Xenopus tropicalis: one gene and its partner. The protein of the gene in region 1 purifies or fractionates together with the protein of each later gene. This does not show direct contact. Links are inferred from orthologs where the notes say so. Each region holds a gene or a part of one and is shown on either strand. Other genes may lie near its edges.

Evidence for each region.
Region 2: the proteins of gtf2f1 (region 1) and hnrnpu purify together in Homo sapiens (affinity purification with western blotting; 3 studies listed by BioGRID, with this or other methods). This does not show direct contact. The link is inferred for Xenopus tropicalis from reciprocal best matches to the Homo sapiens genes GTF2F1 and HNRNPU.

What each region holds. Positions count from the first base shown.
Region 1 is NC_030679.2:140,876,798-140,892,138, forward strand, and holds the end of gtf2f1 (general transcription factor IIF subunit 1), read left to right. Parts: intron 1-1,697; coding exon 1,698-1,744; intron 1,745-1,954; coding exon 1,955-2,027; intron 2,028-2,317; coding exon 2,318-2,511; intron 2,512-2,722; coding exon 2,723-2,893; intron 2,894-3,247; coding exon 3,248-3,456; intron 3,457-3,621; coding exon 3,622-3,766; intron 3,767-4,791; coding exon 4,792-4,850; intron 4,851-5,199; coding exon 5,200-5,313; intron 5,314-7,050; coding exon 7,051-7,124; intron 7,125-7,233; coding exon 7,234-7,375; intron 7,376-7,619; coding exon 7,620-7,743; intron 7,744-8,329; coding exon 8,330-8,534; 3' UTR 8,535-8,766; downstream 8,767-15,341. UniProt on the Homo sapiens protein: TFIIF is a general transcription initiation factor that binds to RNA polymerase II and helps to recruit it to the initiation complex in collaboration with TFIIB. It promotes transcription elongation.
Region 2 is NC_030681.2:44,496,953-44,512,834, forward strand, and holds the start of hnrnpu (heterogeneous nuclear ribonucleoprotein U), read right to left. Parts: upstream 9,525-15,882; 5' UTR 9,496-9,524; coding exon 8,913-9,495; intron 6,458-8,912; coding exon 6,358-6,457; intron 6,287-6,357; coding exon 6,213-6,286; intron 5,142-6,212; coding exon 5,002-5,141; intron 4,911-5,001; coding exon 4,811-4,910; intron 4,105-4,810; coding exon 3,992-4,104; intron 3,831-3,991; coding exon 3,567-3,830; intron 2,980-3,566; coding exon 2,860-2,979; intron 2,769-2,859; coding exon 2,643-2,768; intron 1,638-2,642; coding exon 1,469-1,637; intron 1,272-1,468; coding exon 1,005-1,271; intron 514-1,004; coding exon 326-513; intron 182-325; coding exon 107-181; intron 1-106. UniProt on the Homo sapiens protein: DNA- and RNA-binding protein involved in several cellular processes such as nuclear chromatin organization, telomere-length regulation, transcription, mRNA alternative splicing and stability, Xist-mediated transcriptional silencing and mitotic cell progression.

The DNA of each region.
Region 1 (15,341 bases):
GTGTATGAAAGTTGTGTTTCAGACTGATTTATTGAGATATTCCCCCAAAACCCCACTAGTCCTGCCCATCTGTTCCACTTTCTGCTGGCTGAATTCTCTGGATGTGCAGGGGAGCCGGCGGCACTCTGTACACTGCTTTGTAATATAGGAACCAATCAGCAGCTAGGCTGACCTGATAGGGAACTGAAGCCTGTCTGTGCTTGTGTGAGTGCAGGGCTGTGACTGGCTACTCCCCTCCTACTGTGCTTCTGGCAGGGACCGTTAGGACACGCCCACCCCTCATTTCAAACACAGACAGAGAAGTGATAGGATCTATAGGGAGCGCCAATAAAGGGGCCATTGTTACAGATAGGATTAATGTTTAGCCCAAAGGGAAACCAGCACCGTATATTATTCATAATTGCCTACAGGATTAGGGTTTTTCCCATTTATCCAATATGTCCCCTTTAAAAGAGAAGAAAGGCTAAATGACTGAGTGATCGCTTACCTGATACCCCAGGCTGGTGCTGCTGTTAGGAGAAAACTGCCCCGGCCCAGGGTATATGTGAGAGAGCGTTCCTCTTCCTCCTTTATTCTGAATCCCGGGGCAGTTGAGTGAAACAGACAGCTTTATTGTTAGTCGGCTCCTCACTCTACTGCGCGTGGGCAAAGACCGAAGCAGGAAGAGAAACACTGGCTCACATACACCCCAGGCTGGGGCAGTTTTCTCCCAATAGAAGCACCGGCTGGGGGTTTCAGGTAAGTGATCACAATCACTGGGGGGGCTAATATTTTGGCTCCCCCCACCCAGTGATTGTAACTTTACTTCTCCTTTAACAGAACAGACATTACTAATGCTTATTCCTTTAACCCCTTGTCTCCCAGCAGACTTCTTCCCCAGCCCCATTCCTTTAACCCCTTGTCCCCCAGCCCTGTGCCAAATTGACCAGCAGACTTCTTCCCCAGCCCCATTCCTTTAACCCCTTGTCCCCCAGCCCTGAGCCAAATTGACCAACAAACTTCTTCCCCAGCCCCATTCCTTTAACCCCTTGTCTCCCAGCCCTGAGCCAAATTGACCAGCAGACATCTTCCCCAGCCCCATTCCTTTAACCCCTTGTCTCCCAGCCCTGTGCCAAATTGACCAGCAGACAATCTTCCCCAGCCCCATTCCTTTAACCCCTTGTCTCCCAGCCCTGTGCCAAATTGACCAGCAGACCCCTTCCCCAGCCCCATTCCTTTAACCCCTTGTCTCCCAGCCCTGTGCCAAATTGACCAGCAGACTTTTTCCCCAGCCCCATTCCTTTAACCCCTTGTCCCCCAGCCCTGTGCCAAATTGACCAGCAGACTTCTTCCCCAGCCCCATTCCTTTAACCCCTTGTCCCCCAGCCTTGTGCCAAAATAACCAGCAGGCTTCTTCCCCAGCCCCATTCCTTTAACCCCTTGTCCCCCAGCCCTGAGCCAAATTGACCAGCAGACTTCTTCCCCAGCCCCATTCCTTTAACCCCTTGTCTCCCAGCCCTGTGCCAAATTGACTAGCAGACTTCTTCCCCAGCCCCATTCCTTTAACCCCTTGTCTCCCAGCCCTGTGCCAAATTGACCAGCAGACGTCTTCCCCAGCCTGTGGCCCTGCTACTCTTATATCTTTCTGCCAGAGCAAATCCAGTAATGGTTGTTTTCTCTTTTATCTCTGTATTTACTGAAATTCTCATTCCCCACAGGGCACCAGTGGCCAGTCTGTTACAGAGTATGTGGTGCGTGTACCCAGGTAAGTAAGCAGTCTGTTACTAGTGGATATCTGGGTGCACTTAGCTGTGTTCTCTTCTCCCAGCCTGGTAACATCAATATGTCTGAGAATACATGCTTAACCTGGGATGTCCCTGTACCCAGATAGTATATCCTTCCCATTTACTGTGTGCAGTGTCCTGATATTTCTCCATAGATATTCAATGCATTCTCTCTTCTCTCTGTTGGTCAGGAATCCAAATAAGCGGTACAGTCTCATGGCATTTAATGCTGCGGATAAAGTGGATTTCTCCACGTGGAACCAGGTACAGGATTACCATTTTATAATCCATAAAGGGCAGCATCCTAATCATTGTACAGTGTAATACTCACAAGCCAAAAATACACAGGGCTCTCCCTATGTTGGATGACGTAACTCTAGATAGGATTCACTATATAATTAAGTTTGGGCTGTCTATAGTATGTATGTGCAATTTTGTTTAGAATGTCACATGTGCCATAGTCCCAATTCCCCTGCTGCCAAACTAAAGCAAATGCGTGGCTGTATTGGTCTGTATATCTGTGTGAGTTGTGACGGGTACCTGTATTTCTTCAGGCTCGTATGGAACGTGACCTGAGTGCCAAAAAGATGTATCAGGATGAAGAGATGCCTGAATCTGGGGCTGGCAGCGAGTATAACCGCAAACAGAGGGAGGAGTCCAGGAGGAAAAAATACGGGATCATTTTAAAGGAGTTCAAACTAGAGGATCAGCCTTGGCTTCTGCGAGTGAATGGAAAGGCAGGACGCAAGTAAGTCAGCAATGAACAGCATAGGGCTTTATTCTATTCTTTGTTTCTATCTTCCTACCACTGGGGGCAGCGCTGGCCCAATATCCTTTGTTTCTATCCTCCTACCACTGGGGGCAGCGCTGGCCCAATATCCTTTGTTTCTATCCTCCTACCACTGGGGGCAACACTGATGCAATATCCTTTATTTCACTTGATTCCACTGCCCCTCCAGGTATAAAGGCGTGAAGAAGGGCGGAGTGACGGAAAATGCCTCTTACTACATATTCACACAGTGCGCAGATGGAGCATTTGAAGCATTTCCAGTCTCCAACTGGTACAATTTCACTCCACTTGCCAAGCATCGCACTCTGACGGCCGAGGAGGCGGAGCAGGAGTGGGAAAGGTAACCAGAGGCAGCAAATAAGGCCCCCACCCATATTATATACCCTTATTAGGGCATTTTTGCCTTCATGATAGCAAATGCATAAGATTTTGGGGTGATACAAAGCTTGCCTTAATACTGTACACAAAATGGCGGCTGCCTGCAGACTGTGACTGTGAATTCCAAGAGTGAAGGGAAAAAATTAAATAATTTATATAGTGTAAGGAAAGTTTATTTTGCTCAACTAACATGATAGAAAAGGATTTGGAATAATTTCTTAGAGTGACGGGTCCCCTTTAATGATCCGTCTCCTTGCCAGACGCATAAAATGTGATTGTAAGACCCACGGATTAACTGTCTTTCACCTTCCTGCAGGCGCAACAAAGTCCTCAATCACTTTACCATTATGCAGCAGCGTCGCCTGAAGGACCAGGTGGGAGATGATGATGAAGAGGAAGGTGGGGGAAAACAGGAAAAAGGAGGAAAGGGCAAGAAAAAGAAGAAAAAAAGTGACCTCAAAATCCATGATCTTGAGGATGACCTTGATATGAGCTCCAGTGAAAGCGAGGACAGCGATGAGGAGGGTAAGTTATTGTGGGGTAGGGGTTTGAGATATTAGCAGTTTAGGACTGCCTATACCCAGCTTTTGGCTCCCTAGTATAAGTATAAATGTTGATGGAAAGTAATGAAACAGTAGGGGATGGGTATAAGGCAAAAGATGGCTTCCCTCATGTTCCCTCTGTCTCCAGGCGAGCGTCGCACAAAGCCCCAGAAGAAAGCTCCGGCCAAGGGCAAGAAAAAGAAGAAGCAGAAGTCGGACGACGAGGCTCTAGAGGACAGCGACGATGGGGATTTTGAGGGGCAGGAAGTAGATTACATGTCGGACGAGAGCAGGTAAGGGAAACCTGTAGTGCGGAAGGGGCGGTTCACCTGATGTACTGTTAGTATGTTATAGAATGCCCCATTCTTAGAAACTTTGCAATTGGTCTTCATTATTTTTTATAGTTTTTGAATTATCTGCCTTTCTCTTCTGACAGCTTTTAAATGGGGGGGGGTCACTGACCCCGGCAGCTAAAAACTATTGCTCTGTGTATTAGGCCCTCCTTTAGTCATATTCCCAACTCTTTTTTTCAAACAGCTGCCTGGTTGGCTAAGGTAAATTGCACCATAGCAACCAGATAGCTTTTAGAATACCAAACTGAAGAACTGCTGACCAATTGCAGTTGTCTTACAAATACCAATGGCCACATCATACTGAAAGTGCATTTAAAGGTGAACTATGCCCTGTAAATAGTTCAGTGGATATACGCAAGATTTTACCTTTTTGCAGCCAGCATCCGAATCTTTTAGAAAGGATTTGAGGTTCGGCTGAATCCGATTTGGTGCATCCCTAGCATAAATAATAAAGGAGAAGGAAAGGTAAAAACTCAGTAAGCTTTATCAGAAAGGTCTATGTAAATACAGCCATAAGCACTCACAGAAACGCTGCACTGAGTCCTCTATCAAAAGAAACACAGGATTTCTGGTCTCCTTTTGTGTCACATGTTCTTCCTGCTCTCAAAAAAAAAAAAAATCCTTCAGGGCAGCAAGAGTCTGCTCGGTTTGCTCCTCTCTCCCCTTCCCTACTGGGTTGTAACCTGAGCTACTAGCAGCTAGAGCTGCAGCAGGAAGCTACTGAGACCCAACTAAAATGGCAGCTGCTGTCTTAAACAAACAGAGGGAGCTTCTAGGGCTGTTACTCAGGTATGGTAAAGCTTTCTGCAGAATAAATATAGGGTTCTAGCTTGCACTATTGTTACTAATCTATTGGCAATAAAATGCTAAAAAATGCCTTTTCTTCTCCTTTAAAGGGCCAGAGCCCAAATCATGTGATATATAATATATAGTATGGATCTTACCTTTATTTCCTTTTCTTTTAGCTCTGATGAAGAGCTTCCAGGGAAGATCAAACCCGCCAAAGAGGAGGAAGGCCCTAAAGGTACTATTTGTATGAGTCACTTGCTGATATGCACTCTTCTGTGTAACATGTTATTTCTTACATGAGCCCACGTCATTGGCTACTCCAGGGAGATCATCCTGGTACCACAGCAAGCAATTTTCTGGCATCACAAAATGCCATGTATGGAGTTTGCTAGTGTCATTTCTGCTACAGGGAGGTTTGTAGCGCATCCCAGGCAGAAGTGTGATCATGTGACAGTTTAAGCCCCTCCCTGTTTCTCTGCATCACATTACTATGAGACTAGCCCAGTGAGAGTCGGGGTTCCTGCTTAGGAAGGAATTGGTGCAACGACATCACACGGAGTCACATGTTTTTTGTACTCCCTTAGGATTGGATGAGCAGAGTGAGAGCAGTGAGGAGAGCGAGGAGGAAAAGGCAGAGGAAGAGGAAGAAGAAGAGAAGAAGGCCCCCACCCCACAGGATAATAAGAAAAAGAAGAAAGGTGAGTCTGTCTCGCTGATGTACACCATTAAGGGGCACAATGAGGTTTAAAAATCATTGGTCCCTAATTAACTCTGTTCCCCCATCTGTAATATCATTAAACTCTGACTGATGGCCCCCCCCTTTCTCTTTGTATGAAGTGATTTATTGTGGCCTAGTTACAGTTTCCAGCACAGCATTTTTTCTCTACATATTCATTTTATAAATGTGAGTGGGAGATGCCATATTGCCTCAGCTGGGGTTCCTTACACAGCTCTCGGCAGAACATGTAAAGATGCTGATGCATCCGTTAGCCTGTACCCCAGTACTTCTCTATGTACCCCTTTACCTTCAGCTCTAATACTCTTTCTCATGCTCAGGTAGGGAGGGGGAGGACTTGACCCCCTCTCTTTCCCATGCTCAGGTAGGGAGGGGGAGGACTTGACCCCCTCTCTTTCCCATGCTCAGGTAGGGAGGGGGAGGACTTGATTCCCTCTCTTTCCAATGCTCATGTAAAGGAGGTTTAATGCCACAAGATACACAGAGATCAGTGCAGTAGACCCCCCCCCCCCCCCCCCCGTCTGACCATGGGAACACATGGGAATAACAGCAGCTGAGGGACTGATGTACAAGGGGCTGTTTGGGAATCCCTTACTTGTGATTACAAGCGGGTAGAGGTTCACCCAAAGTAGACTTTCCCTCCGTCCAGCCAGACACACGGCTCCTTTCCCCCATAGTTACTGCACTTTCCCTTCCTTCTCAGATTATGTAAGAGAAGTAATGGCATCAGCTTCCAAATTCCACTTCACCCTGATTGATATTTAATCTAAGGGAGTTCTGTTACAGAAGGTGAAGTTGCCAGACATCTCCCATGCTTCTCCATCCTCCCCGCTCCACCCCGGTCCATAAAATATTCCTCTCTAACATCTGGCGAGTTCTGAACACGCTCTGACCCATTCCATTCTAATGAAACCCTGACGCATCCGTTCACTCGGGGAATGTCTGGTGCAGAGTAGGCCAAATTCATTCTTCACCTGCACTTCTCTCTCCGGGCCCCGCTCTCATCTGGCTGCTCTGCTCCACATTGCATGACGTCTTCTTTCCATTCAAATGGGCCAAGGGTTTCCTTATGTAGAATGTACAAGGAAAACACCATAGGGTTCAGCCATCCATATGCATGGTACAATGCCCCCCCCCCCCCAGTCACCATCTTAGACCCCAATAGGACATTGTCCCCTGTGGCTTCAATCATTTCTTTCCACAGAGACACAATGCTTGTAGTTAAACTTAGGGCTGCGTTGCACTCAGTCTCTCAGCTCCCCATGTCTCTCGGTCTCTCAGCTCCCCATGTCTCTCGGTCTCTCAGCTCCCCATGTCTCTCGGTCTCTCAGCTCCCCAGGTCTCTCGGTCTCTCAGCTCCCCAGGTCTCTCGGTCTCTCAGCTCCCCAGGTCTCTCGGTCTCTCAGCTCCCCAGGTCTCTCGGTCTCTCAGCTCCCCAGGTCTCTCGGTCTCTCAGCTCCCCAGGTCTCTAGGTCTCTCAGCTCCCCAGGTCTCTAGGTCTCTCAGCTCCCCAGGTCTCTCAGCTCCCCAGGTCTCTCGGTCTCTCAGCTCCCCAGGTCCCTCGGTCTCTCAGCTCCCCAGGTCTCTCTGCTCCATGCACCCATCAGCAGCCTTCCCTTATCAGTTGGATGCTGCAGTTGAGACACATGTAGAACATCCCTTCTTATTCTCATTGTTTTTATTTGTTCTGTTTTCAAAGAAGACAGCAGTGATGAGTCTGAGACTTCTGAGGACAGTGATATTGATGGAGCCTCATCATCCCTCTTTATGCAGGTACGGTGGGGCCTCGGCACCGAGCCTAAATACTCTTATATGTCATTCCTCTTCTGTATATCATGCTTTAGTACAGGGGAAAACCTTCTCTTATTTTCATTCATTTCAGAAAAAGAAGACCCCATCCAAGAAGGATAAGAAAGGCGGCTCCAACAGCAGCTCCCGGGGGAACAGCAGGCCCGGAACCCCGTCTCCTGACACAGGGAACACGTCGAGCACCCTGAGAGCTGCAGCAAGTAAACTAGAACAAAGTCAGTGTAGCACATGGCTTTCCTTGTGTTCATATTGTAGGGTGCCCCCCCCTCTGCCTCTGGGCCACTAGGGCCGCCTCCCCTCTGCCTCTGGGCCAGGGCGCCATTTTTTAATTCTGGGGTGGGGCTGATGTTTAGCCATTCTCTCACACACATGCTTTCCTTTCATGCTTTTATTTCTTCCATATTCTTGTGCTCCTTTCCTGACCATCTCATACATTGCCCCCCCCCCCCCACCTCGCAGGCAAACGAGGAGCAGTGTCAAACACTCCTGCGGCGAAACGTCTCAAGATGGAATCCGGGCCGCAAAACACTTCAGGAAAATCCACCCCTCAGCCACAGTCCGGGAAGTCGACCCCCAGCAGCGGGTAAGGCTCAGTACATATAGTGAATAAAGTGCCCCCTATAATATAGGGATATTATAAGTCCCCGAGGAGTTCCTTATAATATATAGTGAATAAAGTGCCCCCTATTGTAACATATAGGGATATTATAAGCCCCCGAGGAGTTCCTTATAATATATAGTGAATAAAGTACCCCCTATTGTAACATATAGGGATATTATAAGCCCCCGAGGAGTTCCTTATAATATATAGTGAATAAAGTACCCCCTATTGTAACATATAGGGATATTATAAGCCCCCGAGGAGTTCCTTATAATATATAGTGAATAAAGTACCCCCTATTGTAACATATAGGGATATTATAGGATCATGGAACTCCGAAGTGACTTCTAATATCCTCATATTTTACAACAGGGGATGCTTTATTTATTATAATATACATGTTTTAGTGAGTCATGTGACTAAGCTCTGATGACATCACTAAGCACCGTTTATAAGGATATCATTTACAGTTTGGTACCATAGGGAAATGACAAACTGTATAGTATATGTAGGGAATGCAGCTGTATATGTGTGTGTGCCTAATACGGCTTGTGTGTCGCTCGTGCAGGGACATTCAGCTGACCGAGGACGCCGTTCGCCGGTACCTGACCCGCAAACCCATGACAACTAAAGACCTTCTGAAGAAATTCCAAACCAAAAAGACAGGTCTGAGCAGCGAGCAGACAGTCAATGTGCTGGCCCAGATCCTAAAGAGACTGAACCCAGACCGGAAGGTTGTGCACGACAAGATGCACTTCTACCTAAAGGAGTGATCGGTACATCGTGCACTGTGGGCCCATGTATATTTGTATAGATTGTGCACACACCGCCCCCTATGGGCTGCATAGAGAACTGTGCGGCACACTGTGTGCAACTGTCAGTGCGTGAGGGTGGGGGTGACAGATGCTGGCAGTTATGGACATTTGTCACATGACTGTTTTTCTAATGAGTTTAGGACCAAGTGCCACAAGGTGAAAATAAATGTCATTTTTTTTTTTTTTACTATATACTGTGTTTGGACTTTAATATAGATTATGAATACCCTTGGCACTGCCAGCCTTCCTCCTGCTTGTCATTTCATTAAGTGGTACAGTTTGGCACAGCAAAGTGCCATTCTGAGCTGCAGAAGCCTTAAAGGGGTTGTTCACCTTTTTGACTTAACTTTTGGTACGATGTAGTAGAGAGTAATATTCTGGGGTAATTTGCAATTGGTCTTCATTGTTTATTCATTTATTTGTAGTTTTTTCAGTTATTTCATTTTCAGTTCAGGAGCTCTCCAGTCTGGAGTTTCAGCAGCTATTTAGTTGCTAGGGTCCAAGTTACCTTAACAACAAGGGAGTGGTTTAGGCTGAATAGAGAAAATAAGGTATAAAAAGTAACAATAAAACTGTAGCCTCACAGAGCAATAGGGTTTTGGCTGCCGGGGTCAGTGACCCACATTTAAAAACTGCAAAGATTTGGAAGAAGAAGGCAAATAAATAAAGACCAAATTCTAAGCAACTTTTCAATTGGTCTTCATTTTTTAAATAATTTGCAACTTTGAAATGGGGGTCACTGACCCCGGAAGCCAAACAGCAATTGCTCTGTGAGGCTCCAGCTTTATTGTTGTTGTTACTCTCTCATTCAGACTAGTGCCTGGTCCCAATTTGGACCCTAGCAACCAGATAACTGCTCAGATTCCAAACTGGAGAGCTGCTGAACAAAACGTGAAATAATTACTAAACCACAAATAAAAATGCATTCTCCATTTATGTAACAGAGCTCTGTATTGGTCAGGCAGACACAGTGGTGTGGCTGTAGGAAAAGCCTACCCGGGGATTATCTTCCCATTAAATATCCCCCCCAGCCCCTCTCATCCTGGCATTTATTCCTGCTGCCCACCTCCCATATCCTGTACCATATACACCAGGGGGGTGGGGGTACATATGCCCCTCTGTTTGTACCCAATCTCCCTCTCTGCCCTCGCTTCTCTATAGTCCCTGAGTCTGTGTCTGACCCAGGTGCATCTCTGGCTTCCAGCTTCTCTAATTCCTTTGTCTCCGCCACGCTCTGATTTATGGTTTCTCCAGGAATTACAAACGTTCTCTCCACATTTCTGTGATGCTTTTTCTCGTCAGAATTACAGGAAACACCCCGGTCAGTGTCTACTGCCAAGGCTTTGCTTTAGCAAATATCTTCTGTTTCAATTACCCCGGGGCTCAGTATCTCCGCTTATTGTATGGTGGCCCTATAGCCCTCGTCTGTAGCTTCCCACTCACTGACAGACCCCTTTGTCACCTATTGTCTTTCCACAGTTCTCTCTTATCCATGTCACCCTACTATACAATAGGCCATTATGTACTGAACCTATGACACCCTACTGTCCATAAGGCCTGTCTTGTCTGTGTCACCCTAAAGCTGGCCATACATGTTAAGATCCACTCGCTTTGCAAGGTCGCTAAGGGAGCGGATCTTCTCCCGATATCCCCACCTATGGGTGGGCAAATGTAGGCTAAAATGTTTGGGGCCAAACGATCAAATTCTAACGGCAATGGCACAGTCGGTTCTGGGACCGCATCAACGAGCCAATGCGGTCCCCGATCAGACTAAATCTTTAAACCTGCCCAATCGATATCTGCCCAATTTCAGGCCAGATATTGGTCGGGTATGGCCGTTGTTTCTGCCGATACACAGGCCGATAAGCTGCCGAATCTGTCCAAGGGGCCGATATCGGCAGCTACAATAGGCCTCTATATGGCCACCTTAAGATGGTATAATCTTGACTTTCATCATACATTCCAATATATCCTTACTGTGCCACCCTACAATCCAACAGGTCATTCTTATCCATGTCCTCCTACACTTCTATAGGTCCTAATTTACAGTAGGGGGTACATTATCCCTTATAATACATGAGTGATACTCAGAGTTCCCTGTATAACTCAGCCTGCAGCCTTGTGCCTTTATATGGGGGGCACAGAACCCCTCAGTGACTGCTAATATCCTTATCATTTACAGTAGGGGGTACATTATCCCTTATAATACATGAGTGATACTCAGAGTTCCCTGTATAACTCAGCCTGCAGCCTTGTGCCTTTATATGGGCACAGAACCCCTCAGTGACTGCTAATATCCTTATCATTTACAGTAGGGGGTACATTATCCCTTATAATACATGAGTGATACTCCGAGTTCCCTGTATAACTCAGCCTGCAGCCTTGTGCCTTTATATGGGCACAGAACCCCTCAGTGACTGCTAATATCCTTATCATTTACAGTAGGGGGCATTATCCCTTATAATACATGAGTGATACTCAGAGTTCCCTGTATAACTCAGCCTGCAGCCTTGTGCCTTTATATGGGCACAGAACCCCTCAGTGACTGCTAATATCCTTATCATTTACAGTAGGGGGTAAATTATCCCTTATAATACATGAGTGATACTCAGAGTTCCCTGTATAACTCAGCCTGCAGCCTTGTGCCTTTATATGGGCACAGAACCCCTCAGTGACTGCTAATATCCTTATCATTTACAGTAGGGGGTACATTATCCCTTATAATACATGAGTGATACTCAGAGTTCCCTGTATAACTCAGCCTGCAGCCTTGTGCCTTTATATGGGCACAGAACCCCTCAGTGACTGCTAATATCCTTATCATTTACAGTAGGGGGTAAATTATCCCTTATAATACATGAGTGATACTCCGAGTTCCCTGTATAACTCAGCCTGCAGCCTTGTGCCTTTGTGTTACTGCGGTAACAGACACTAATGGAGGCCGGAGGCAATATGAAGGAGGCCACATACCCCAGGCTTATCTCCTACGTCCCTCTCTTGCCCTTCCATTGCTCCCTGTGTTTCCCTCAGACACAGATGCGCCGGGGATGCTGTTCGCTGATTTACGGGAATTCCTCTCACATTCCAAACGTGGCTGGCGAGTTTTCAGCAGGTTTCACCGGTTAGTCTGGAATGCGCTGGTTGAGACGGATGCTACCTCCACTTCTCCAGATGCTGCTAAAAATAAGGTTTGTATGGGGAAGGAGGGAGGGAAAGCAGGATAATGGCCGATGAATAAGGGACACAGACCAATGTTATATAACACATGTCCCCAATATATATACTGGGGGGACACAACATATCTCTCCAGAGCTGCCCAGCCTCTATTACCTGCCATGGTGCGGTCCCCCAGTGGCCTGGCCTAATGCGGCTACTCCGTTCTGTTCCAGTCCTGCCTCCACTCCTTGTATTTTCTGCCCGGGCCGGAGGACCTGTCTCCCTAGGCTCTGGCTATTGTCAGCGATCCTGCAATCAGTCTGCTCTGGGGGGCTCTCTAGATTCTGATCTAGGTGGTCCTTCATCTCTTGTTCCAGATGGTCCTCTAACTAGGGTTGCCACCCAGCCGGTATTTGGCCGGCCTAGCTGGCACACTGGCCATACATCTGCTGGCAAATTTGTAAGGGTGGAGACCTTACCCATAATCCCTTGGCTCTCCCCAGCAGATCCCTTTTATATAGGGGCCAGCCTCTGTCCTGATTATTTCCCCACCCCATCTGTACACTACCCCGCCCCATTCAACTATTCCCCTGCCTGGCCTGATCATTAAGGGCCCCGTTTACGGAGACTGAATATCAATATCACCGCTGACACTGCCCACAGCAATTAAACAGATCTTTGCTTGTATTTCTAACTTGTAGATGACAGTTCAAATCTAATTTCTGATTGGTTGCTATGGGAAACATCACCAGTTATAATCTTAGTAAAAACACCCCTAAGTGCTTTTGCTGAGACCACGCCTCCTGAGTTCCTGTTGTGAAAGTCACTTCCTGCTCTGCCCTTCTTCCCCATATTCCGACACCATGGTTTTTAACCCCTGGTATGTTATTTGGATTTTGACCCTGTGTTTGCCTGCGGCTGCTTATACTTCCCCTCTGGGTCCTTGTTTTTTTACTTTATTTGATCTTTTGTTAAACACAGCGGTTGCCAAGCAAATTACAACTGGTTACTCAGCACATTGGCTCCTATTGGCTAATTCAGTGGGCAATTCAGCCCTTTTTTGGAGTATTAAGTGGTGGTAAAACTGGATTATGAGGAGGAGCTAAAGGCACAATCATTAGAACAAGGCACAGGTACAGCTGGGAGTCACCTGACGGCAGACAGGATTAGGAGGAGGAGCTAAAGGCACAATCATTAGTACAAGCCACAGGTACAGCTGGGAGTCACCTGACGGCAGACAGGATTAGGAGGAGGAGCTAAAGGCCCAATCATTAGTACAAGGCACAGGTACAGCTGGGAGTCACCTGACGGCAGACAGGATTAGGAGGAGGAGCTAAAGGCCCAATCATTAGTACAAGGCACAGGTACAACTGAGTGTCACCTGACGGCAGACTGACAGGATTAGGAGGAGGAGCTAAAGGCCCAATCATTAGTACAAGGCACAGCGGTTGCCAAGCCAATTACAACTGGTTACTCAGCACATTGGCTCCTATTGGCTAATTCAGTGGGCAATTCAGCCCTTTTTTGGAGTATTAAGTGGTGGTAAAACTGGATTATGAGGAGGAGCTAAAGGCACAATCATTAGAACAAGGCACAGGTACAGCTGGGAGTCACCTGACGGCAGACAGGATTAGGAGGAGGAGCTAAAGGCACAATCATTAGTACAAGCCACAGGTACAGCTGGGAGTCACCTGACGGCAGACAGGATTAGGAGGAGGAGCTAAAGGCCCAATCATTAGTACAAGGCACAGGTACAGCTGGGAGTCACCTGACGGCAGACAGGATTAGGAGGAGGAGCTAAAGGCCCAATCATTAGTACAAGGCACAGGTACAACTGAGTGTCACCTGACGGCAGACTGACAGGATTAGGAGGAGGAGCTAAAGGCCCAATCATTAGTACAAGGCACAGCGGTTGCCAAGCCAATTACAACTGGTTACTCAGCACATTGGCTCCTATTGGCTAATTCAGCGGGCAATTCAGCCCTTTTTTGGAGTATAAGTGGTGGTAAAACTGATGTAAAATACAGCAGCTAGTGAGGCAGTTTACTGCTAATAGATTAGTCACAATAGCACAAGCAAAAACTCTATATCCTGTAAAATGATTTACCATACCTGAGTAAACCTGAGAAGGAAGTCTGACACAGAAGCTCATGTGTACAGAATAGAAGACAGGGAATTCTGTTTCTTTTCACAGAGGACTCAGAGCAGCAGTACAGTGAGTGCTTATGGCTATTAAATACAGACCTTTCTGATAAAGCTTACTTAGTTTAAACCTTTCCTTCTCTGTTAATAAATGAGGCAATAAAAGCATTGTGAGTGAATAAATTGTATAAATCTTTATCTAAAGGAAAAGTAAAGCTTCCCTGGGAAATTTGTACTTTAAGTAACAGTTCACATCCCCCTCCCCTACATGTCACTTACACTTGTCCCAACTTATCTGTGTCCCCATAGCATGGCCTGAGTTACAGCGCTGCTCAGTAGTGTTGGCCACCACCTTTAGCAGTGTCACTTCTGTCCCCAACATCTATGTCGCTTCTCAGCAAGCCAGGCCTGCAGACTACTGGCCAAACTGTGACATTTGGCTACTGCACATGTTCCTAGTTGAAATCCATGATGGGAATGGAAGTCACATGGCCAAGGATGGTGATGTAGCTGTGCAGTTCTGTACGTGCAATGGGCCACAGCTAAATTAGTCCAGGAGCACCGGATGTGGTTGGGGAGGGGCAGAATTTGTGCACCGACAATAAAATTGGATTTTTTTCCAGGTGTTTTCACATACTATGATACATTCCTCAACTGAAAGAGGAGAAATTAATTGAAATGTTAGTTGATAAAGTGTGTGTTCTCCCAGATTGGCCTTCAAAAGAGGCAGGGAACCTCTTCTCTAATAGGCCCAATCATTAGTACAAGGCACAGGTACAGCTGAGAGTCACCTGATGGCAGACTGACAGGATTAGGAGGAGGAGCTAAAGGCCCAATCATTAGTACAAGGCACAGGTACAACTGAGAGTCACCTGACGGCAGGCTGACAGGATTAGGAGGAGGAGCTAAAGGCCCAATCATTAGTACAAGGCACAGGTACAACTGAGAGTCACCTGACAGCAGACTGACAGGATTAGGAGGAGGAGCTAAAGGCATAATCATAAGTACAAGGCACAGGTACAACTGAGAGTCACCTGACGGCAGACTGACAGGATTAGGAGGAGGAGCTAAAGGCACAATCATAAGTACAACGCACAGGTACAACTGAGAGTCACCTGACGGCAGACTGACAGGATTAGGAGGAGGAGCTAAAGGCACAATCATAAGTACAAGGCACAGGTACAACTGAGAGTCACCTGACAGCAGACTGACAGGATTAGGAGGAGGAGCTAAAGGCACAATCATTAGTACAAGGCACAGGTACAACTGAGAGTCACCTGACAGCAGACTGACAGGATTAGGAGGAGGAGCTAAAGGCACAATCATAAGTACAAGGCACAGGTACAGATGAGAGTCACCTGATGGCAGACTGACAGGATTAGGAGGAGGAGCTAAAGGCACAATCATAAGTACAACGCACAGGTACAACTGAGAGTCACCTGACGGCAGACTGACAGGATTAGGAGG
Region 2 (15,882 bases), on another chromosome or scaffold:
GTTAGAGTAGCTCAGTGAAATAAAAAAAAATTAAAAAAAAATATAGGGTGCAAAAAGGGAAAAAAAGTTTGCAAGTCATTAAGCAATTTCAGTGAGAGATACTTACACCCTGCTGCTGCCACTGGTTGTAACCCTGAGACTGATTTTTGAAGCCACGATTATTTCCCCTTCCTCTGAAGTTCTGCAGAGAAAATTCTAGGTCAATAAACTGCAATGCAGAGTTTCTCAATTAAGATATTTAGCAACCAAATTCCCCCCTTGTTTCCTAAAACATGGCACAAAGAAAGATGGGAGGGGACAATTAAAACTTAATATAAAGTTTTACCTGGTTGTAGTTGCCACGGCTGGGCATTCCACCGCCCCCGCCACGGTTGAAGTTTCCACGGTTACCATAGCCACCTCTGTTAGGATAGACTGGTGCACGGGGGTATGGATACCCAACGGCACCACCGCCTCCACCACCACGCTGGGGCATATTTCCTCTTCGGTTGTATCCTCCACGGTTTCCTGGAGCTACAAGATAGTTAGTTATTAAATTTATGCCTAATGGTTTAAAATTTAGCGGTGAGCACAACTTTTCCCTTTTTTGTTAGTTTGCACAGAAGCAGTGGTAAGCGTCATGTTGTAACCCCCACCCTTTCCAGCTACAGTCAGGTGATCCCAATGAGCCAATAAAAGGGCAACCATTTGGGTGTTTTAATGAATCAGATAAAAGCAAGTGTAGGACTGCCCAGACCATGGATGACCGACATAGTTGGCCAGCTGGATGTATATTGCAGTATATGGACAAACAATCCCTGTTGCTTAAAGGGGAGGGCATCTCTCTCTCAAGAGGACCTCTTGTTGTGGTCACAGCTTCACTGAACCCCTGCCTAAATATTTAAGGTGGTTTTGACAAAGGTCAATGAACAAATTCTGAAACTAAGTCATCTTTGATATGTTTGCCTCAGCCCTCTTTACTAAATGTATACAATATTCTGTACAACTACATGGTGCAAACATACCTCCACCCCTGAAATTTCCTCCACGCATATTGTATCCTCCACCTCCCCGGCCTCTGTGTCCATGACCGTGAGACATACCACCTCTGCCTTTGGTATTTTTGTTCTTGTTTGGTTTCTTTGCTCCAATGTTTTGTTTTTTCTCTGGTGGAAGGGACGTCTTACTCTCCTCCTTATACTGCTCAATAAGTTTATCAGCATCTTCCTTTTGCAACTCCACATAACTGATTTCATCAAAGCACTCACTTGCTTCTGGAAGAGTAAAGTTACCTGAGAGGGAAAAAAAAAAATGTGCTCTATCAGGGGCCATCATATTAGCACCATATCAGAATGGTTGTTACAAAGTAAAGTAGAAATTAGAGACCAATAACAAGTTTGTGTCAGATCATAGCATAGAAGCCATAAGCTCTGAAAAACTGCCTTGCGAAGAGGCTCAATGGCGATCAAGAACATGGAAATCTACTTACCTTTCATTTTGAGAACTGCATGTTCTGGAAGATCTTTGCCTTCCACCTCAGATTTTTTCTGTGTTCTCTCTTTATATAACTCGTCTGTTGGGCAAACAACAACTGCTTTGCGTTGGAAGCCAGCAAACAAGCACATTTTCCTTCTCTGTGCAGCTACTGACACATTTGTCTGCAAAAGAGAAAAGAAATGTCAAACAAAAAAATGTTAACTTTAGGAAGGCAAAGCTGGAACACTTTGCACCACTCAACACAAGAAACAAATCAGTTTGATAGTGTATGTACACACACACTACAGCTTAAACCTGATGAAAGGCAGAGGGGCCTTGTATGATTACAAATAGATTTTGCTGTTCTGGTTATTATTAGAAAACTATTAAGGCACCTTAGTAGCCTTATGGCAGGGTGCTCCATTTTGTATAAAGACTCCCTGGTGCTAAGTATTTTGTACAATATATTCCACACCTGTACTTAAAATACTGCATTTAAAGGTTAGAAAGCTCAAGGTGTCTTAATTACTATAGCTTATATTTCAGTTATAAGTTTTATACAAAGTGAGGTAAAATGGACTTATTTCTATTGAAAAAAAAAAAGCCCTGTATGCTGAAAGCAAGGTTTGTTATTGTATTAATAATTATCATATTAACATGTGAAATTATGGATCACTTTAAAGAATTGTTTGCCTTTAAAATATTTTCACTCCCACTGTTTTCTAATAGATCAGAAATAACTTGACATTCTAATACTAAAATTTAAAGTTTCATTTTTCACCTTTTGAATAATTCCTTTACTTATGCAAAAACTTCAGATTTTTTTTAAATTGTTACAATATGCTACATTAGTTAATAACATTTCTAATTACCAACCTCAATTACTGAGGTTCTTCTGAGAAAAGGTTAACTTGTATTTTACTTCTATAGACTATGGTAAGTTTTCTGAAATTTTTACTAGCCAACGGTAAATATACAATTTATTTATATTTAAAAGCATACATGACTAAAATTAATTATATTTTTTATTTAACAAAATATAGAAGACAGCAGGTTTCTAAACAAAGTTTAACAATTGCCTGAAAGCAGAAAACACTGCCGGTCAAGGTATGTCTCTCTAAGGCCCTGTATAAAAATGGCAATATAAATAATATATATATATATATATATATAAAAAAAAAACTTACCTGATCCAAGATAAAATGCCTTTTTTTGCGAGCAGCAATCTCAATAAATTTGCTTAGGCACTGTGGGGCCCTCTGCAGCAAAGCATTTAACTTTCCAGTGTCAGACATTTGCTTTTTGCAGCCAACCTACAAAGAAAAGGGTTTTAAAGTAAAAATGTCAAGAAAAAAAAAAAAAAAAAAAGGTTAACATACCAAAATTATATATTAGGATTCTTACCGTCATCTTTTCCATAATAGTGTTCGTTCCAAGTATGTTGTATTTGCCAGGGTTTTGTTCAGTATGATTAGTTACCCATGTTGTTTTTCCAGCACCTGGCAAGCCAATCATCATTATAACCTTTAAAAAAAAAAAAAACATATTTGCTCTGAATGTAATAAATGTATTTGTATTCTTAATTCTAAAAAAAAGAGCACATATTAAGCATTATGACACGAATAACCATATCACTATACCACACATAAAAACACAAGATAAATTAACCAACAAGAGTTCCAATGAAGTTTAACAGTAACTGTCCTTGGCAAGCGTGTGTATCACTTATCTTCAACCTAGTAAAGATTTTATTATCCAGTATTTAAATAGCACCAACATGATCAGTGTTAATCATGAGCAATTAACCTGCCTGTATGAGTGTGGAAGAAATCCCACACAGAAACAGAGAACATGCAAACATGCCAAGGCCAGATGAACTCAGCACTAGCACAAGGCAGAAGTGCTTGGACACCCTTCTGCCTAATTTGCTTTGAGGAGCACTACAGAGCAGTGATCTTAGAGTATCTGCAACAATAAGCACTGGCTAAATGTCTTTCCAGTTCTCCCACCTATAGTTTACACCCAAAACCAGACAACATGAATTGAAAGATGCAAAAAGAGGGAGAAGAAAAAAAAACTGTTCTCTTCAGTTTACTTTCAAATATACTTACTTCACAATCCTGCTTTTGTTCTGGCCCCAGAGGTGCTCTGACTCTGTCCTCTAAAGGAACGTTCTGAATTAATGTATAGCCTTCAGGGATAGAAAAAAATGGTTCTGCCATTTGCCCAAAGTTGAATTCTACGGCACAGTTGTGGCAGAGAATGTGTGGGAAGAGAGCCTGCTCCAATATGGTATCTTTGTTAATCTTAAAAGCAACTCCAAGGTCTTGGCCATTTTTTGCATAAGAAAGTTCTATTTCATCTTCTTCAAAATTCTGCAACAGAAAAAAACCAGTGAAGATCAAAATTAGTGTCCCCACTTTTAAATGCTAACCCAATCAAAAGCAAGATATTTCATTATACTTTGCCAAATTTAAAAGAACTCCAACTGTAGCACACAAGATGTTTTAATGGGAATTAAACATGAATTACTCACAGCACAGCAAGTGATCACATCATTCTCATCATATTTCTCTCCATAATCCTCAGCAACACCATTGCAACATTTTGCTGCTTTGAGAGAATAACCATAGGAATTTTCCTCCTCCCCTAGTAAAGCAAAAATAAAATTGTATTAGGCTGTTAATGTATTTGTTTTCCAAATTATAATACAGATATGGTAACTTTTGCCATGAAACCAGTTATTCAGAAAGATACAAATTAAAGGAAGGCCATATCCCATAAAGTTGTTTTGTTTTTTTTTTACTAATTCCACTTTCAAAACCAGCAACTTGTTCTTGATCATAACTAAGCTGTATGAATCTATATTTGCAACCAAACAATTATAGCAGATTTAATTTTTTAAATATTTAGCAGTTTAAAGTATGCTAATTCAAAATTATGAAAACCCCAGTTGTCTTGGATAACATAACTTCATGGACATGCTGGCTATATAATGAGAAGGCATTTTTAGGATTTATTTTTATGCAAATCCCTCATAACATTTCTGAGCAGTGACTGTTAAATGTGTTTCAAGACTGACAGACCTAATTTAAAAGGCATATTAAATGGATCATTAACAGGTTATATTTAATCTTTATGTGAAGTTCTGCAAAAAGTCAAAAATTGTAAACACAACCTCAAGAGGAATGGAAAACCAACTTAGAAATATTGCATTATTCAATGCCAAAGAGGCTGGATGGCCTACTTCAAAATTCTAGCTAGAAAGACAGATAAGGTCTGCTGGCATGAAGGATACCTATAGCCTAGCAAACTTTATTAATAGGGATATATTCTCCCTTTACTATCTACATACCGAGCATGTATCCACAGGAGCTCAATGACCAGCCAACACGAACTTCATGAACATCTGTTTCTTTTGTATATACATGTTTAACTGGAATCTTTTCAGTTACCTAGGGGGTAGAAAATAAGTTTGATTGGTTAAAAAGTAAAATTTAACAGTTGTCGGTTCGAGACAGCTTTTGCATTTGTAAGTGCACTTACCTTCATCTCGAAACAAACTTTCCCCTTTAATACACCGTAAGTGGCTCTCCCTCCAGCCCAGAGAAGTGCAAAGCTCTCCATGGTAAGTGATGATGCACTTAAGCGATCACGAGAAATTTTGAAGTGAAGATCACAGTTATCTATAAAATATGATTATGGATAGACAACATCTTAGCTGAGAAGCTATACACAGCACCTACATACAATACGGCATGGTTAAAAAGTCTCTATACATTATCAAAAGAAAGGGTTATAAAGTCTTCAGACAGACATGTACTGGCCAAATGATCACATCTACGCTGGTCCAAACATCTACGCTGGTCCAAACATCTACGCTGGTCCAAACATCTACGCTGGTCCAAACATCTACGCTGGTCCAAACATCTACGCTGGTCCAAACATCTACGCTGGTCCAAACATCTACGCTGGTCCAAACATCTACGCTGGTCCAAACATCTACGCTGGTCCAAACATCTACGCTGGTCCAAACATCTACGCTGGTCCAAACATCTACGCTGGTCCAAACATCTACGCTGGTCCAAACATCTACGCTGGTCCAAACATCTACGCTGGTCCAAACATCTACGCTGGTCCAAACATCTACGCTGGTCCAAACATCTACGCTGGTCCAAACATCTACGCTGGTCCAAACATCTACGCTGGTCCAAACATCTACGCTGGTCCAAACATCTACGCTGGTCCAAACATCTACGCTGGTCCAAACATCTACGCTGGTCCAAACATCTACGCTGGTCCAAACATCTACGCTGGTCCAAACATCTACGCTGGTCCAAACATCTACGCTGGTCCAAACATCTACGCTGGTCCAAACATCTACGCTGGTCCAAACATCTACGCTGGTCCAAACATCTACGCTGGTCCAAACATCTACGCTGGTCCACCGGGGAATGCGGAAATGCAGCGTGAATGCGTATGTGATGCAGCATACGTACGCATTCACACAGCACTTCCTCATCCCAACTTCATCGCGGTCCATCAGAAATCCACGGAGGATCGACTGGTGGACCGCGATCAATGTATTGGCCACCCCTGGTCTAAACAGAGCCCTGGGATGACTGGGTGGCCGGCACAACCAAATTGAAAATTCTTTTGGGTTTTTTTAAAACTGACAACAGAAAAGCAGATAATACATTATCCTGGGTACATTAATGAACACGGTTTTCCCAAATAACTTAATCTGAAAGACTTACAAGTATCAAGAAGTACCATGGTATCATCCAACTTCTCATCTTCTTCATCAACTGGTGGTTGAGGAGACTTTGCCCTGAAATAAGAATATAGTTAAAGCCATGTAAAAATGCAAAGTAGAATGGCACTGGACAAAACTGTACCTACCTGCTATATTTATTTTCTTCAATATATTCAAAATAGCCACGACCATGGTCCTCACGTGGCCTTTTCACACCCCTTTTCTTCTCTTTTGGATCTTTTCCATCTAGAAATAAGAATGTGAAGCTATAAACCACATCCATACACTTACAATGAAACACTTGCAGCTATTCTTACATGATCAAGAAATTAAATCCAATGTAATTCTCACAGACTAACTTCACAAGTAGCAAGTACAGTATTTATCTCCACAAGCACAAAATGAGATTGTTTTTATCATTAATGTGCAGGTATGGCATCCTTTATCAGGAACAGTTTTCCAGAATTCTCCAAATTATGTGAAGGCCATCTTCTATGGTGTTAATTTTAAGCAAATATAATTGTTAAATAAAATTTCCTTACTCTGTAATAATAAAAATGCACCTTGTACTTGATGGTAACTAAGCTACGTGAATCCATGTTGGTGGCAAAACAATCCTATTGCATTTATTTAATTTTATAATTCATTTTTGCAGACAAGGTATGGAGATCCAAATAATCCTTTATACGTAAAACCCCAGTTCCCAAGCATTCCAGTTAACACAGCCTACTCCTGTAATAGTCTGCATAACCTGCAGAGCTGTAAAATACATATCTATACTTTAATGTCCTAAGTATGGCTGAATGCCTGCTTGACTTATCACCCCAAAACACTCAAAATTACCCCAATCACTTTCAGTATGACAGGCCAACAGTCGCTTGGTTCAGTCTATCAATTATTGCTGGAAGCTGCCATGTGTGCCATTAACTCAAGCATCTCTTTGGTTTCAGACAAAATGATGATCTATTGTTAATTCAATTACATACTACTCTTGTATTTGTATTTCCACCCTCTTTTCCAGTTTTTTTTTTTGCTCAGCAGGAGGAAAATCTATACCCAACAAGTCAAGACAGACAAAAAACTGTTTTAGTCTCAGTGCACACAATGTTCTACACAGTATGTGTATGTCGAACTAATATGAAATTGAAAGTAAGAGCACATGCACAAATGTTTAGCCTAACAAAATGTTCTACTTGGTGGAATTCTGTAGTGGCTTTTTATGTGGCCAGAAGGCAAATAGCAAAGGACTACTACAACAAAGTTCCTGTCTGCTTTTCAGGTTTCTAAGATCACATACAAGAGGTCACTGGAGTGTAAGCCAGCCTCTGGGGGAATCTGTATTCCAGCAAACAGATAAATAAATGCATTCCTCTATGAATGAGTTCATGAATGTTGAAGTCAGATATAAGGCTCATTTTTCAGCAGCCCTACAATTGGAGTGTCTGTGCAGCTAGGGAAACGAGCTTGGGGGGCATGCAAGGCGACCCAACATTCCCTTTGTGCTTTCCACTGTTCTATTTTGGGATACTACTTCCTGTTTCTCCTCAGTACCTTTCAGCCCAACGACTTACTTACAAGGCTATTCTAATGCTGTACTGCTTGATGCTTCTTTGCAAATATAGTACCAGATTTATATGCCACACACCTCCAATCAACCCACAAGGATGCATTTACAACCTAGTAATATCAAGGGAGTAGGTTTATTAAAAGTTTGGGGGGGGGGGGGGGGGGGGGGGGGGCTAGTGGCAGTACTGCAATACAGGCTGACAGATTTAGAAACAATGGACATGCAGGATCCTTGGAACTTACAAACTTTTTCCCAATCTGTGTGACTAAGCTACTGGGGCCATAAACATGCAATCCTAAGCGCCTTTGGAAAACACATTAATTTTATTGTGTGAAAATATAAATTGCTACTGAAAAGCGGTATTTATTCTTGCAATCTTGATCAGGTGGTTTCTGATACATTGTTGCTGAAGTCAGAACCAGATGTGCATAGTATTAACAGCCACACAGATACTAATGGCAACAGTAAATACTTTTACAAATACCTTTGTGGAAAATGTTTAATGCAATTACTTTTTTGAAATTGGGTGGAGAACTCATTTAAAAAAAAACACATTTCACTTGCACAAAATGGCAGAGTTGTGTAAGCACCCTGTATTAATTCAATGGAGACTAACATGATGGAGATAACGCCACACAGATCAGCGTTAAACAGCGATAAACTAACCCGGAGAGCCCACTAGGCCTTACAGAGTACAACAAAAGAGAAAACCACAAAAGGCACTCAAGCGGATCCCTAAGAGACAATAATGGCTGCGCCGCCCACACAAGCAGGAGCAGCAGGTGCGTTAGCAGAGCCGCACTCCCTAACATGGGGGCAGGGAAGCCCCTCCCCGAGCAGTGACGCGCTCAGCCCGCCGCCGCCACAATCATTCCAGGAGGAGACGTGACAAGATGGGCGCGCAGTACGCGCACCCCTAGCGCCAACCCCCTTTGTCAGCGGTACTCGGCAATAACCATTTACACGGCGGGAACAAGAGCGCTAGCATTTTATACAAGTCAACAAGGCCGTGGCCTACCACCTCCCACATACAAAATACTCAAGGGGTCACTAATTTTACGAGGCGTTGTGGTAACATAGCGGATGTAATAAAACCGCGCTGCACTATAATATCGAAAAATAAAAGTGTCGTACCCTCCATAAACTCACCGCTCCTCCCGGGGCCGCCCGTCTCTTCGCACTTTATGGCCATTAGTGGTTGTGGGCCGCTGGGCGCACTCTCGCTTTCCTCCTTCTCTTGATCTTGCCCGTTCTCTCCGATAGCCGCTTCCGCATCATCTTCTTCCTCCAGTCCAACCGGAATGCCTTCATCTTCTTCCTCTTCTTCCTCCTCCTCCTCATCTCCCTCCTGGAAACCCTGATCGTCTCCGTTCTCATCTCCTTGCTCTGCTTCAGGTACCTCCTCGCCGGGTACCTCCTCGTCGGGCGCCTCCTCATCGGCCCCATCGCCTCCGTTTTCTCCTCCTAGCTCCATTCCTTCTTCTTCTTCCTCCTCTTCGTCTTCTCCGGTTGCACCTTGTTCGGGATCGCCCAAATCCTCGGCCTCATCAGGGACCGCCACTCCCCCTCCTCCAGAAGCGCTTCCCTCCTCGTCCAGCGCAGCTTGCAGTCTCTCCATCAGATCGGCCTTCAGCCCTTTATCGCTAAGGTTCCTCTTCTTCAGCTCTTCCTTTAGCTCGGATACCTTGAGCTTCTTCACGTTTATCGGGGAACTCATTGTGCCGGTCAGCTGTGCGTGCTAGTGGACTGAACCAGGAGAGGGTTTGCGAGCGTGTTTGTTGCGCTCTTACTCCTTCCAAAATGGCGGCACCAGCAAGGACGGAGCGCACTGCCCTCAGTGGGGGAGGAAAGAGAAGAGAATGAGGTTCGAGGGAAGTCGGGCTCTCCAAGGTTCTACTCGCTCCGCCCACATGGAAGTGGGAAGAGTCCGGTTCCAAGGAGCCACGCCCAGCAGCGTTAACTCTTGTAGCGGCTAAATGGCCAAACAATGCGCCTTGTGATCTCTGCCTTGTGATGCGAGAGTATGAGTTCTCTCTCGTATTCACATGCTGCTACGCGTTAATAAAGAAGGAGGCTTGTGGGCTCCAAATATACGTAACGTAATACAAAACGGCTGCTTCTGTTGTCAATAATTATCTGTATTTTGCCTCTGCCCCTGTTCATTTAGTTGAATAAACACTCGCTCCCACACCCGTTGTAAGCAATAAATCCATCCAATAGGACAAAATGTTGTCTCACAGCCAGCCAATATATATCTACGATAGCGCTCCGTTCCACTTTATCGAAATTCTATTTTACCCTACGTTTGTGCCTCCCTTCTACATTGCCGAACGGTTTTTCGCGGCTCTCGTAGATATACTGTGTATTGGATCAGTGCCATATTTCATGTGAGAAACAGTGTGGCTTGGGGTTGGTTGGGGGCATGGTTTTGTAAATTAACAAAACCGCAAATGTGCCTGTCTGTACAGTGGTTGTACCTGTTACTAAAGCATGTTTTTGTTAGGAAGATGGCACATTTTCAGGGACATTTCCTGTTTTTTAAAGCTGTTATATGGCTTTACCAAACCTATAATTCATTTATACAAACACCATAGGTGTTTCAGTTTGATAGGGTTGTCACCTTTTCTGGAAAAAATGCTGGACTTCCTGTTTGCATGTGTTTTCCCTATTAATAACATTGGCATAAGGCAACATTGGCCTCACTGGTAAAGGTAACATCTGTAATGTTAGACTAGTTCAGGCCATTGCAGGCCTGGTTGCCATACACCACTAGCCAATTAATATTCTTTGGTATATCAGTAATGATTGGATTCCGAATGTGTAGGATCGCCACATTTTCTGTAAAAATACAAGTCTTCATAAATTAATATCTTTTTGTCCTCTATTAACAAAGCTTGATTGGGATCACGCAAGTTTTTACAGGCCAAGCTAGGCAAATAACGGCCATTTAGGAGCCCTAGATGAGCCCTAGATATGTGGTGGCCATATTAGAAACAGCAAGAAGTGAAGTGGAACTTGGGTTCCTAATCAGTCATTGCAAAATGCACTGGGCAATATAGTGGATTGGTAGATGGCATTCACAAACATATTTATTTGACTGTCAGCTGCTTGCTTAACAACTTATATACAGTGTCATTTATAGGGATGCACCAAACCCCCAAATCCATAGTAAGGGATTCAGCAAAAAACCGAACCAAATCCTAATTAGCATATGCTAATTAGGATACAGAAGGGGTAAAAAAAAAAAAAAAGCAACTTTCCAATATGAAATAATTAAAAGTTTAACCGTTATTTGTAAATGTAATTGCTATTGAAAGCAGCATTTGCTGAACTCCTGCTTGTTACATTTTAAACAATGTTGCAAAGGTCTTGCTTCTCCAGCAAGGCAGGTCTGTTAGTCTGTTACAGTCTGCTTGTGTTACAATGTTTCAACAGTCAGAGCCATCAGGGCAGTGAACAGAAAAGGACAGACAAACACTGTTTCTAATAGCAATTATAAACAAAATAACTCAAAAACCATTACAAACTCTAAGCTGCTTAGAGTTTTGGTTTCTTTTATTAGGCTAAAAATTATATCTTGCGTTGCCTTGTCCTTTAAGGTGGCTGATTCTAGCTACCGATATCGGTCCTTTAGACCCATTCCAGCAGCTTATCTGCCCGTGTATAGACGCAAACGATGGGCCTGCCCAACCGACATCTGGCCTGAAATCTTCCTAATCTCAATCGGGCAGGTTTGACTTTTCCGTCAGATTGGGAACCGCATCAGCTTGTTGTCCCCAAACTGACGGCGTATATACCCTCCATTATACTTTGATCGTTTGGCCCCAGGGCCATCTACCTAATTAACCCGATATGGCCCACCCATAGGTGGGGATATCAGGAGAAGATCCGCTCGCTTGGTGACCTCGTCAAGCGAGCAGTTATTAACGTGTATGGCCACCTTTACTTTTCATTAAAATCAGAGATAATTTTGAGGCAATTAAGTCTCCTAGCATTCCATGTTTCCAGTTGTATTGTGCATCTAGATAAAGTGGTAAATAAATGTTTTCTTTTATAATGTTGCACTTAGAGCTTTACCTTTCCTGTGGTGTATTCTGTTTTAGGAAGAAGAGGATGAATTGCGCATTGTTAATAATGCTGGAGACAGCATGAGTGTGGTAAGCCCATCTGTGCCTATTTACCGCTCATTGCTATGCAAGAGAACATGTAGCCCTAAGCAGTTATGTTAGCAGTAGTTAACTTTATGCCACTACAGTTTAAAGGAACAGTGGTATTAAAATAGTTCATAAAAGTTTTTAAGTTATATTATCCTGGAGTGGATTCCCTTGCAACAAAATACACAACTGAAATGAAAATTAACAAGACTCTGTGGCTTTGAAAGTTTTCATTTTGACCAGCTATCATGTCCTTTAATATGCTGCAAATAACTGCAACAGCTCTTAATTTTCAGTTGTGTATATATGTGTGTGTTTTAAAAGAAGATCATATAAACCCCAAGATATATTATGCTGTATAAAAAAATATTTACTGATTTTATTTTTGCTGTACTGACCACCCAAGAGATGAAGCAAAGAAAAGTTTTTTGTATCTATTTATGGCTGCCACTTCTGATTTTATTTGCTTGATATCCTTTAAACACATTTACATGACACTTTAGAGAGGCTGGCCACATTCACATCATTCCCATCCCTAGCGAAGCTTACAAACTCTCTCACATGGCATTCACACAACACACACCAGAGTCGGTTTCATCAGAAACCATTTAACTGTATGTGTATTTCTGGGGTGTGGAAGGAAACCCATGTAGACCTGTGAGAATGTACAAAACGCCTTGCAAAAGTTGAATTTAGTATCTGACTGTAATTTCACAAATTCACTATTTACATAGTCACTATTTAAGGTGGTCATACACATTCAGATTTTAGTCTTCTTCTGATGAACGTTCAGATATCAGTTGTACGTTTAAATGCAGTGATCTGAAACTAATATTCAGAGATTTCGACATCCAAAGAGTCTGTTTCAAAGTCCATAGTTTCCTGTTTTGGGGGGCTATTTGAATGATCTGATGACATAACTATGCTTGCAATTAGATGTCACCACCAATGTTTAAAACCCTGTTTTAATGCAGTCTTTGGTTTAGGTGGGCTGCACATTTTTGTGGGTTTATATTACTGGTTGGTGCTCTAATTCATATGAAATAACAGTGCCATATCTCAATAAATTCTGGAATTTTGTATAAAGAATTATATAATAAATGGTTAAACCACACACTTAATATGAATATGTAAAAAAGAATTTGACTGTGGAAGAAGGGCGTGTTTGTGTGAGAAAAGAAGTGCAAAATGTAAACAACACTTAGATAATGGAGTGAGAAAGGGAGAAGGGTGGACAATGGCTGTGCCTTGTTTTATGCATCTCAATAACTACCTTTCATGTGCAAGCTACACCTTTGCACCTTGGGAGACTGGGATTCATTCTGTTAAACAAAGTAGCTGCCAGTGCCAACATTGGCATGTTGTTCTTTTGAGATGGAAAATTGAACTTTTCAGCATTTAAATAATGGAATAATTAAATAATAAGTTTCTCTAGACTTTAGACCAAATTATTCTGTGCTTCTTAAATAAATAATAAAGTTTAACTTCAAGTGAAAAATATATCAAATGCTAAAATACATGCTCTTGGGTAAAAAGATTTTTTTAGAACATCAAAAAATGAACTAGCTAGATATTATTGCACGATTGTCCATAACTTGTCAGAAGAAGTTTATGGTAGATTTTTGTTCCATATGGCAATTTCACTTTACTCAGACTTCACACCTTCATGATCTAGGAAATGATAGTATAAATTTGGACACATGCAGATTTATTGTTTGGATATAATTAACAACCACTGAATGTTCAACATTAGGCCATGACCACCCCCCCTTGCAGGTCCAGCCTCTGGTCAAATTCCCCTTGGCTTATGAAATATCAGCATATCAGTCTATTTACCATACTTCCAAGAATATCTAGGACCACAAATACATTTTACATTGAGATAGATGGTCTCGAGAGTTTTTGCAATATGACATTTACATGGGATTTCAAAATCATCCAGTAATTTGAAATTTCGGCAGAATGGTCTGTAGAATATTGGCCTATATGTGTCGTTTTTCTTTTTTTTATGGTGCAAACAGAAATGAAGGAACAAAGAATTATACATCTGCTATAACATTATCAATTTATAGTTGCAATTTTGACTTGTAATGTCCAGCATGATATTGCCTCCATTTGCTTTTGTGGTTATCACCAACATAAACATTGCACAAGGGTGCAATCATCTTCAAGGCAATGCCTACCTGACAAGTAGCGCCTATGTTTAGAGGTGACTACTGTAAAAGTTAATTGGGGGCCAAATTTGAACATTTTATCACTACCAGTTAATCAGAGGTTCATGCTTTTTGGCTTTCTAGATACATTAGAAACAGTATAGTACCCTACATGGTTCTGTTTTGCATAAAGGGCTCAGCATTTCCTATCCAATTTACAATGCACAGCTTTTAAAACAGAGAGCTGGGACCTATCCACATCCTACTAATTTTAGTAGATTTGAGTTTATGTAGCAGTCCTAGAATGGGGTGTGATAAAAAAACATGACATTACCATGTCTCGCATGAATGTTCACCAAATTCACATACACTATGGGGGCCTGTTCATTAAAGTACGATTGAGTCAGAATGGAAAAAATAGTATTTTTTCTAACCTTTAGAACTGTGCGTATTTTCTGCAATTTTTTTATTAATTTCCACAACTTTTTTGTGCTTTGCGACAATTTATGCGACACAATTGTATTGTCACAATGAGTATGAAAGTTTCGATATCCATTCAAGAGTACCATTGAGTCCTATGGGAGGCTTCCAAAAACATGCGCCAAAGGTCCAAAGTCAGAGAGTTTTTTGCGTTTCTGATTCATTCAGATACGAAAATCTGAACTTTCAGATCGTACCATAATATTTTCGTACGACCACAATGCAAAATCTTCGCACTTTTAACGCGCATCAGAAATTATCGGATTTAATCCGATTTTTTTCAATTGTACTTTTAAATGTCCCAAATTCAGACTTTGATAAATGGGTCCCTATATGTATAATCCTTAGTGCCAAGCATTTTGATGAGTAAAACTCTGGTGCATCAGCACTTCTGTAGTACACCAGCACTTCTATAGGTCAGTTGTTCTGATCATTGCATTGAAGTATTACAATTTTGTACTAGCAATACAGTGGTGAAAATTTGTTTAGTTTGTAAACATAATGGCCAACACAGTGCTGGGCCTTGGGATGCTTGTGCCCAAGGCAGGATGCGCTGCTTGTTACCCCTCCCCACCTCTGCGATGAGCAGTGCAGGTTGGGGGAGGAGTGGCCTGACAGGTGAGGAACTGTAGAAGGGTCAGAACTCTGGGTAGGAAGGCAGAAGAGGTACGTGTCTGGCAACCCCCCACCATTGCCTACACCTATTTCCAACTTTGGCCCAACAAGAGGATGTCTGGTTATAATCTTTGTGGAAATAGTAGATTCCAGCTGGATTGACTGACAGCTCAATCTGATTCAAGAAACAACTAAAAACTGCATTGGAGCCTGCACAGACCAGAGGGATAATTTATAAAGTGCCAGGCAGGGTGCAAAGAGTAGTAACAAACCACCATGTTTTTTGCACTTTTACATCCTGTCCTGGTTTTACACCTTGTGCTGTGAGAGAATACATTCTTAGATGGTATAAGTAATTGCACTGGTGCATTATAAAAACAATCCCCTGGGTGGTGGCCTTTAAATAAAGAACAAATAGCCATCCCTAGTAAGAATACTACATGTGGCAATTACAATGTTTTTGCTGCCTAGGCAATTTCCTGCAGGATCAAGCTATCAGTGTGACCCCCACAATTCAGATATTTTTTGAGCAGAAGAGCTCACTGCCACAATGTTAGATTATTGTTAGGGCCAGGTTATTATTCAGGACAACAATGAGGCAATTGCAAGTGTTTTGACTCTTGGCGAGCTAGAGATTGCACTTCACTGAGCAACGTGTAAAAATATGGCTAATTGCACCCGTTTTTTGCTCCCTGCCCTGCA